Bombyx mori: one gene and its partner. The protein of the gene in region 1 binds, or shares a complex with, the protein of each later gene. Links are inferred from orthologs where the notes say so. Each region holds a gene or a part of one and is shown on either strand. Other genes may lie near its edges. The genes, in order: sterol regulatory element-binding protein cleavage-activating protein and protein TRC8 homolog.

The links.
Region 2: sterol regulatory element-binding protein cleavage-activating protein (region 1) and protein TRC8 homolog share a complex: the UniProt entries of both Homo sapiens proteins name them as parts of the SCAP-SREBP complex. The link is inferred for Bombyx mori from reciprocal best matches to the Homo sapiens genes SCAP and RNF139.

Annotation. Positions count from the first base shown.
Region 1 is NC_085107.1:13,849,329-13,853,162, reverse strand, and holds part of sterol regulatory element-binding protein cleavage-activating protein, read left to right. Parts: intron 1-107; coding exon 108-276; intron 277-1,862; coding exon 1,863-1,976; intron 1,977-3,144; coding exon 3,145-3,254; intron 3,255-3,834. UniProt on the Homo sapiens protein: Escort protein required for cholesterol as well as lipid homeostasis.
Region 2 is NC_085132.1:9,862,529-9,867,157, reverse strand, and holds the start of protein TRC8 homolog, read right to left. Parts: upstream 3,039-4,629; 5' UTR 2,725-3,038; coding exon 2,481-2,724; intron 1-2,480. UniProt on the Homo sapiens protein: E3-ubiquitin ligase; acts as a negative regulator of cell proliferation through mechanisms involving G2/M arrest and cell death.

The DNA of each region.
Region 1 (3,834 bases):
ATTTTTTTTTTATTATTTCAATATGTTACCTAATGAAAAATTATGAGTTAAGTTATCTAGGGCGAGCTGTATATGATCGGTTTAAGTGAGTGTGGGTAGTGATGTAGTGCGTGTGCGGGGGCGGCGAGGGCGTGACGCACGTGCGGGCGCTGGCGGGCGCGGCGCGGGTGTGTGCGGCCTCGCTCTCCGGGCACCTCACTCTGATGCGCCTCGACGCCTACAACAGTGCGTCGGGCGCCCATGTCGACTGGGGCTTCAGCACCGCGCACAGACGAAGTAAGCACCCGAGCTGAGAGAGAGAGAATACACTTTATTGCACACCAAAACACAATTTACATTCAAAAAACAGTCAAAAAGCAGATAGATTTGTACAATAGGCGGTCGTATCGCTTAAAGCGATCTCTTCCAGACAACCGTTTAATTTACAGAAATTCTGGAAAATATAAAAATATAGCAGCTATATTGCGGTGTACTAAATACATATATATACCATTTACATATAATATGAAATATATAGTTAACTGATTTATATACCAATATACATACTTACATACAATACATACTAATATACTTACATACACATAATAAATCAACAGTATGGAAATTATAAATGATAATGATGCAAACAAACAGCACTAAGCATATAAGTAGTGTTCCTTCACCATTCTTTTAAAACAGTTTAAAGTTGGAGCACTTCTCACTGCATCCGGCTACTCACTAATCGAACCGCCTGGACGGTGAATGAATTATCAAAGAATGTTGATGAATATATTAATATCGTCTTCGCTGATATATCGTCTTTTCGCATTGAAAGTGTATAATAAAAATATTCGAAATTGAGTTAATATGCGGAATCATTTGGTATAACCGGTATTTTTCTCATAAATACTGTCAAAAGAGCGTAGTATAGTTTTAGTTTTTTTTTTTTTTACTTTACCTATGTTTTGACTACTATTATTAAAATTAATATATCATTTTATCTTACTTAAAAGATAAATATTGATAGTGGTAAAAAAAAAAGAAAAATGTTGCAAAGATGATTAATATTAAAAATATCACATGTTAAACCTTTAAAATACTCTCCTGTAAAATTAGTAAGTTTTGAGATTATACAGTTTTAATGCGAGAAGACGAATATAACCACCTAACAGGAACGACTCGGAAAACTAAAGGCTCGCGCACATAGTTGGAATGGGGGGTTATTGCATAACAAAAATCCCACGTACTCCATTTTCGTGCATTTCATATGGACTATCGGACTGCAATATGCGCGAGCCTTCTGTCCTTTTGGAATTAATAATTTATTTTCGACCTTATCGTTTGAGTCTTTCCTGTTAACGTAACATATAATGTTGTTATTTTTTCTAAATATTACTAGCTTAGTTAAGGATGTCGTAATATAAATCTTGCTGCAAACGTTGAGATTATATCTTCATTGCATCAATATAACCAATAAATATAGTTCACTTCCAGATAGTGTAGATGAGATTTGACAATATACAGTTTGTAGTCTGTAGCTGTGTGTATTTAAATTTTAGTTGGTTCAAATAGTTTTAAATTACTAAGTTTTATTATTCAATATGGCTTTTTTTTTTTTTGAAATATTATTAAACTGTGCCACTTACAAAATGATCATATAATTTATACAAAATTGGTGCAGAATGAAGCAACATTTACTTTTGTGATTCATATTATTTTGACGAATAGCTCATTTATTTTTATTTATTTGCCAAGAATAACAAATACGTTTGCTTGAATTAAGTCGTAAATCTGTATTTGTGGGCTGCTTGGGATGTGAACGTAAAAAAGCACAGAGTATTTTTTTTTTAATTAACGTCAATGTCTTATTAATTATCTCACAGCGCACAAGCGGAACGGTTCGACCGGCTCGTTACAGACGAGCTTCGGCGTGAACGACGAAAGCTCCCGATACAGAACTAATTTCACCTACAAAAGCGATCCTAATGACGGAGAAGGTACGAATTGCATTCGATCGAACTTTAGTCAATAATGTATTTATTATACGCGGTGAACTTACCCTGCCGTTATTAACGAAAATATAAACTGTCTCGAAATTTGAATTTGTAATTCAAAAAGAATGAAAGACGCTTCATTTTCCCGGGATAATAGTACATTGTTTACCAAGGGAGAAAAGTAGGACATTCCTTCCCAGGATGAAATGTCCTACTTTTTTCCCGCGTTGCACATACTATTTTTTCTCCTACTAGACCTAAAGTTTGTGGAGTACCGAGCCGGGGTCCAGGGGCGAAGCCCCGGTGGGGTTTAATTTTTAAATAAACTACTACTAATTGAATAAGAACTGTCTAATAAACTCATCTTTGTTTAATACTTCACTATTAAAATTTATTGCCTTTTGTTTATTTCACTTTTACACTAAACAATATTGCAAATTACCCTAGCACAACAATGGCGGAAAATTCTAAGTGCATGAGAGTAGATGTAGACACTAACGCGCATGCGCACTTGTACCCAGGGAGGAAAAGTTACACTTTCTTCCCTGTACGGCGGGAGGAAAAGTTAGACTTTCTTCCCTGTACAGCTGGAGGAAAACCGAACTTTCGGCGTAGGTAGGATAAAAAAGAGTTGATTTTGTCGCTCTTTGTTCCGTAAACTACCATTCGATTTGTAGATCTGTTCGTACGTACGTAATCACGAACCATGGAACAAACTGTCGTATTTTAATACGTTTTTATTAGCTTCAGACGTATGTATGTTAGTATGTAATGGAATCTTTGAACATGATTTTGACCCCCTTCAAAAAGGCGGATTAACTTGAAATTTGGTATACTTATTAAGGACCGATGACAATTCAATATTTAAAAAAAGAAAAATGAAAAAAATTAAATATGAAAACATTAAATTCAGCTAAAAAATTAAACATAAATAATAGTTTAAAAAAACTAACAAAATACGTTTTTATAGAAAATCCAACTAAAAAATAGAAAATAAATTTTAATAAATTTGAATTAAAAATAGTATAAATATTTTATATATAAAAAAGTATTTTATGAACAGATATGAGCAGAGGGGTTGTTTTGATTATATCTAGTATAACTTAAACAGTGATGTTTCCTGTCTTTTATTTTTATAATCGAGTTAAATTATTTTATTATTAATTCATAGAGGTGGTGTGCGTTCGAATAGCGCAGTGCAGGCCTCATCAGCAGCCTGTTACTGAGATGCACTCGGAAGGCGGTCGCATCTTAACCGGAGGTCAGGATCACGTGGTCAAGGTAAAACAATAATAATAATAAATAATAAGCGTAAGGCCTTGTCCGCACTGCGTAATTCCGTAACACATTTAATCCTATAGGAGTAGCCGCACTGACGGTTAAAAAAAACGTACGAGAAAAAAATCTGTGATTAAGGCCTTGTCCGCACAGCGATATTTCACCGCGCGTTTTTTTTCTCGTAATTCTGTAACACATTTAATATTATAGGAGTATCCGGAGCAAAAAAAATCGCGCGGGAAAAAAATCTGTGACTTATGCAAATTGAACGCGAAGCGGTGCGATTTATTTCCGCGCGAATATTTTGTACCGTATAAAGTAAGTATGGCTATGTTCGCACTGTGGAATAAAATTCGAATAAAATTAGTTCGGTTGTCCATTTTACACGTGCGTCTCAGCCGAAAACTGAATTAAACTAACAAAAATATTACTAAATTTTATTCGCAGTGCGTACTAGGTGTAATTCCGATCGCGGAATTTAATACGCGATAATAAAAACCTCGAGGTCAAATATCGCTGTGTGGACGGGCCTTAATGCGTTTCGGTTTGAAGGGCGGGGCAGCCGTTTTAACTATACTGACAC
Region 2 (4,629 bases), on another chromosome or scaffold:
TCGGAAGGATTAACGACACAAAGTAATTTAAACATTAGAAAGGTCAAAGACATAAAAATTATACAAAAACAAGGTAGTTTTTAAAAAAAATAACCTATTTTTTTTTTTTAAAACTTCATTGTTTTTGCGCAATCACGGTGCTTACAAGAACGAAGTCAAAATTGAATGTTAACTGTTAAGATCCATCAGTCTCCAAATACAACTGAACAATTTGACGATGACACAGCAAAAAGAAAACATGTCATTGACTTCTACTTACCGCTTAGTCATTTTGACAATATTTTTTTGCAATTTGTCAAGATAAGACAATATTATAGGTAGTTGATTCCAAGCATTATTTTTGGTATGAATTATCAAGGTTTATGTATTTTATGAAATAAGCTTAACATGTTAAGCACGAGCTCAATCATCGACGGCTGATGCTGGTCTGTCAGATACGGCCATGTCAAACACCAGTGATTTACAGTGTTTAACATGCTTTAATATACTATTGAAAATTTATTCAAATTCATTAATTAATGATTTAATCAAATTTATTAAAGTATGTTCATCCTTTACACTTATGAACCTATCATAAAAAACCGAACATAAAATGTAACAACTTGCTTAATTGTTTTTCTGGCCGTTGTTCTACTGTATTTTGGTGCATATTTATCATAACTCAATAAACGATAATCATACTTTTTTGGAGTTAGAGGTTATTGGTCTGTGTTATTGTTTTTAGCATGCCATTCAATTTCCACAGGGAACTTCCTTAAGAATAGGAGTGATGTTTAACATGTTAAGCATGTAAATGTCCCAACAAGTTTTATATGAAATAGATTGCCAATAGATGTCATGTAAATACTGGCAGCCAGTTTGAGATGTGACCTCAAAGTCTAATGGGGATAAAACAGTTAAGTTTTTGATGAAAATTGTGATGTATTGCTGTCCTTTTCTTGCAATTACGAATTGTTTTTGTAATCTCTTAAATGCTCTTAAAGTTTCATCATGTCACTGTCCGAAGTAGTATATTAGACAATGACAATAGTTTACTCTGTAATTTTGCTTAAGTTATGAAGGCGTTTCTGATTTGAGTTTTTTTTCTGTAGAAGTTAAAGCTTCAGAAATATTATGTCTTGTTCTCTCACAGGCTATAAAATCTATAGATATATAAGTTTATATCTTGTTAGTATCACTAGTGTTTCATTAAATTTTAGATCAGTAAAATTTCAATAATTTATTAATTGGTTTTAAAAACTGGTAAATTTTAAACAGTAGATAGCGGCTTGGTTCTGCCTGGCATTGCTGACATCCGTGGAAGACTAACCACTAACCATCAAGTGGACCATATAGTTGTCTGCCTACAAGGGCAATGCAAAAACACAATGTTGCTATATAAGTTTTTATTCCAGAAGCTTTAGCACTAGAGAGTAAGTACTCGTTAATACAAAATTACAAATCACTTGTTTATATCCCTTTTGTAAATTTAGTTTTGGATCCTACTGACTCCATATTCTTCATAAAGGAATGTGGGTGAAATATAGTAAACACGAAAAAAAAATTAAAGAATAAAATAGTTGTCAGTACAACCTAATATTCCATGGCAATTTCATTTACAGAGTGACATGTTTTTATATAAAATTCACACTAAAACATGGCTGACACAAAGTTGCCCCTGTCAAGTTGCCACCTTATAAATGTTTGGTACACACTTTCTGATTAGGCTGATTGTGGTAGCAATTGACCATTGTGCGTATATTCTTGTTGATAAGTAATAACTGTATGGATAATGGTTTGATTTTCATAATAAGCAGATCAGTTTCTTATGCCATACATAAGTAGATGAGTAAATTACCCATCTAGTGTTAAGTGGCTATCAGAATTCAAATGCACAATAAATAACAATAATAAACACAGTTTATTACATTGTGAGAATGAAGTCAAAATATAATGATGAATATTGTATTGCAGCAACTAATTTGCTTGTTTTTAGAGGTGCCCAAAAACCTATTACAACTATGGAACAAAATAAGATCTTAAATTGTTGTTCTGAAATATCAGTCCACCTTCAGAAATTTGGACTTTGGGTACATTTCTCAAATACTAAGAATTTTGGTTTAAGTACCCTTTTTCAACAACATTCATTTTTCCTTATTGCAACTGGTTTATTTTTGTAAAAATGTAAATAAGTCTACTTTGATGAGTTATTCCTGATCATGAAAACTTTACAGTATTCGAAGCGTCGGAAAAATAATGAGAATATTAAATGTGAGTTTAAACTATAAAGTTAGTTATGATTCTATGACTCGCAAAAGCCGAAGAAAATACTACAAGACCTTTTAAAATCAAAATTCTTGATTTATACATATAAGTAGAATCACTTATCAGTAACACTATAGTCCAAATAAAACTACGCAAAAATTTTAATTGAACTTTGAATTATTGTAAAAGATTAACATAATTTTGTTGTGTTGATGATGTATAAATATTTTTCTCACCTGAACAGCAAACGAGGAACTTGAAAAAAGTGACGAAAAATGCATTATAGAAGTTAGCATCGTAGTAATTCACATCTGGCTCCAATATATCGACGTGGTCCACTGTGACATTGCTCAATACTGGCACTTCCTCGCTGGACACGGGCAGCCCTAGGCTGATCTTAAGGAACTCATCCACCACAAACAACGGTGGCACCCTCAGTAGCACCTCCACTAGTGCCAGGGCCTTCAACCTCAGCGACATTATTCATTTAAGCGGAAAGTCACACACGTTATCACTGACAATTTAAATACAACACAAGCATCTGTTACACACTGCATACGTCTACTATACCAAGTTGAGATATATTTTAATACATAAAATTGAACTTATAAAGATGTGCTTTATTCGTCTTGTTTTAAAAAAAAAAAACGTAAATTGATACGAAAAAATGACTGAAAATTTGCGACAATAAAAATTTGACGTTACAAATTTAGATGTTGCCCTGTTGCCAAATTTTCGAAGTAAATAAAACCATAGATAATGAAACCTAAGTAGAGCGATGAAAGAGACAATTTAGTGTTGTCATATTCTTTGTGAGAAAATGTACTATGGTTTTGAGTTGTAAAGTACATTGTAGGTCAAAATAAGGGCCCTTCTATCTTGTAAAAGATAGAGAAGAGCCACGTCAAGGTTTCTTATCTTTTTAATTATTTAGTCTAGTTTTAGTTACTTACTTAGTCTTTAACACTATTGTGATGTGAAACTCGTTGATAAGCGTTTCTAAAAAGAGAAACATACACAACTTGCATCGAATGTTTGAAAGAATGAGAATGAGTCCTTTTGAAGGTAGATTTCTACAGTACATGCTGCACACATATTGTGAGATATTCAGGTTTTAGAGAAGTATCGTGTATTATCCTCTGAGTTTTTTTACTATTTCGATCGTGCAGTAGTTGCGCCCCTAACCGTTGCGCCGTGAGTGGTGGTGGTGATTTCCACATCGGGCAAAAATTGTGTGATGAACAGGTTTGATAGCACTGTCTGGGTGTTTATTATCTGTATATGTATCTATTGAAAGACAGAACTAGATAGAAAGAAGAAAGATATTTAACTAAGTTTATCAATCTCATGTACCCATAATACAGGGAACTTTAAATTGGGGCCGGATAACACTGTGTAATTTGTTCCCAGTTATATTATTAGTTAAAGTTATTATTATCTGAGAGCTACCGTTACATTCCCCTTCGAGACCAGAGATCGTGCCGGTAAATTAGCTAAATCAATGCCTTGAGTTCCAGCCACAAAATGTAGAATTGACAAGTTGGAAATGTGTGACCACAAGGGTTAATGGTCTGGCCGTAGGCAAAGAAAATAATAGTAAAAAAGCTAAGAAACGTGCTGAGCCGGCTGAATTGGATAAATGTTTTTTTTTATGATTGAAAGATTATTGTTGGCCCGGAGGCCTTTCCAGTTTCACCAGGACAGGCCTATAACTAACTGGTAGCTTGCAAAAATAACTTTTTTTTTTTACCGAAGTTAGTTTTAATATTCTCGTTATCAGTTGTTGTTCAGGTTCTCGTACAATATCTTTAATTAGAGGCACACAACAATTGTAATTTTCATAGTTTAACACTAAAAGTCCGACTGGCGGGGCTTTTGTGAGTTCGGTGTTCCGGGCTGTTTGCGAAGATGATATGGAAATAATGTTTACAACTGATTTGTATGAGGTTTTAATATAAAAGCGACACAAAAACTAAAATATTACAAAATGAGTTGAGAACCGTACAGATAAACTAAGACTGACAATATTTTGTAGGTCGACGTCGCGCGCGCCGAGTGCGCGTGTTTTTTCTCCTCGAGAGCTGTCTCAGCGGGGGGGCAAGGCGGCGGCTGGGGCGGTGTCGCACGTTCGGATATTTGGTTCCATTATAATAGCTTTTTAAATTGCTTAAAATTGGGTGAGCGAGCTCATAGTCCATCTGATTGTTAAATGGTAACAAATTCTACGATATAACTAATTTAAATAACCTCAAACACCTTAAGAACCGAGTTCTATGGTAAATCTCAGTTCTATAGTACAATGGCTGCCCCGCCCTTCGAACTGGAACATATTACTTCTACGCCGCTGGAACAACCAGGGTGGTGGTACCTACTAGACGTCTTACG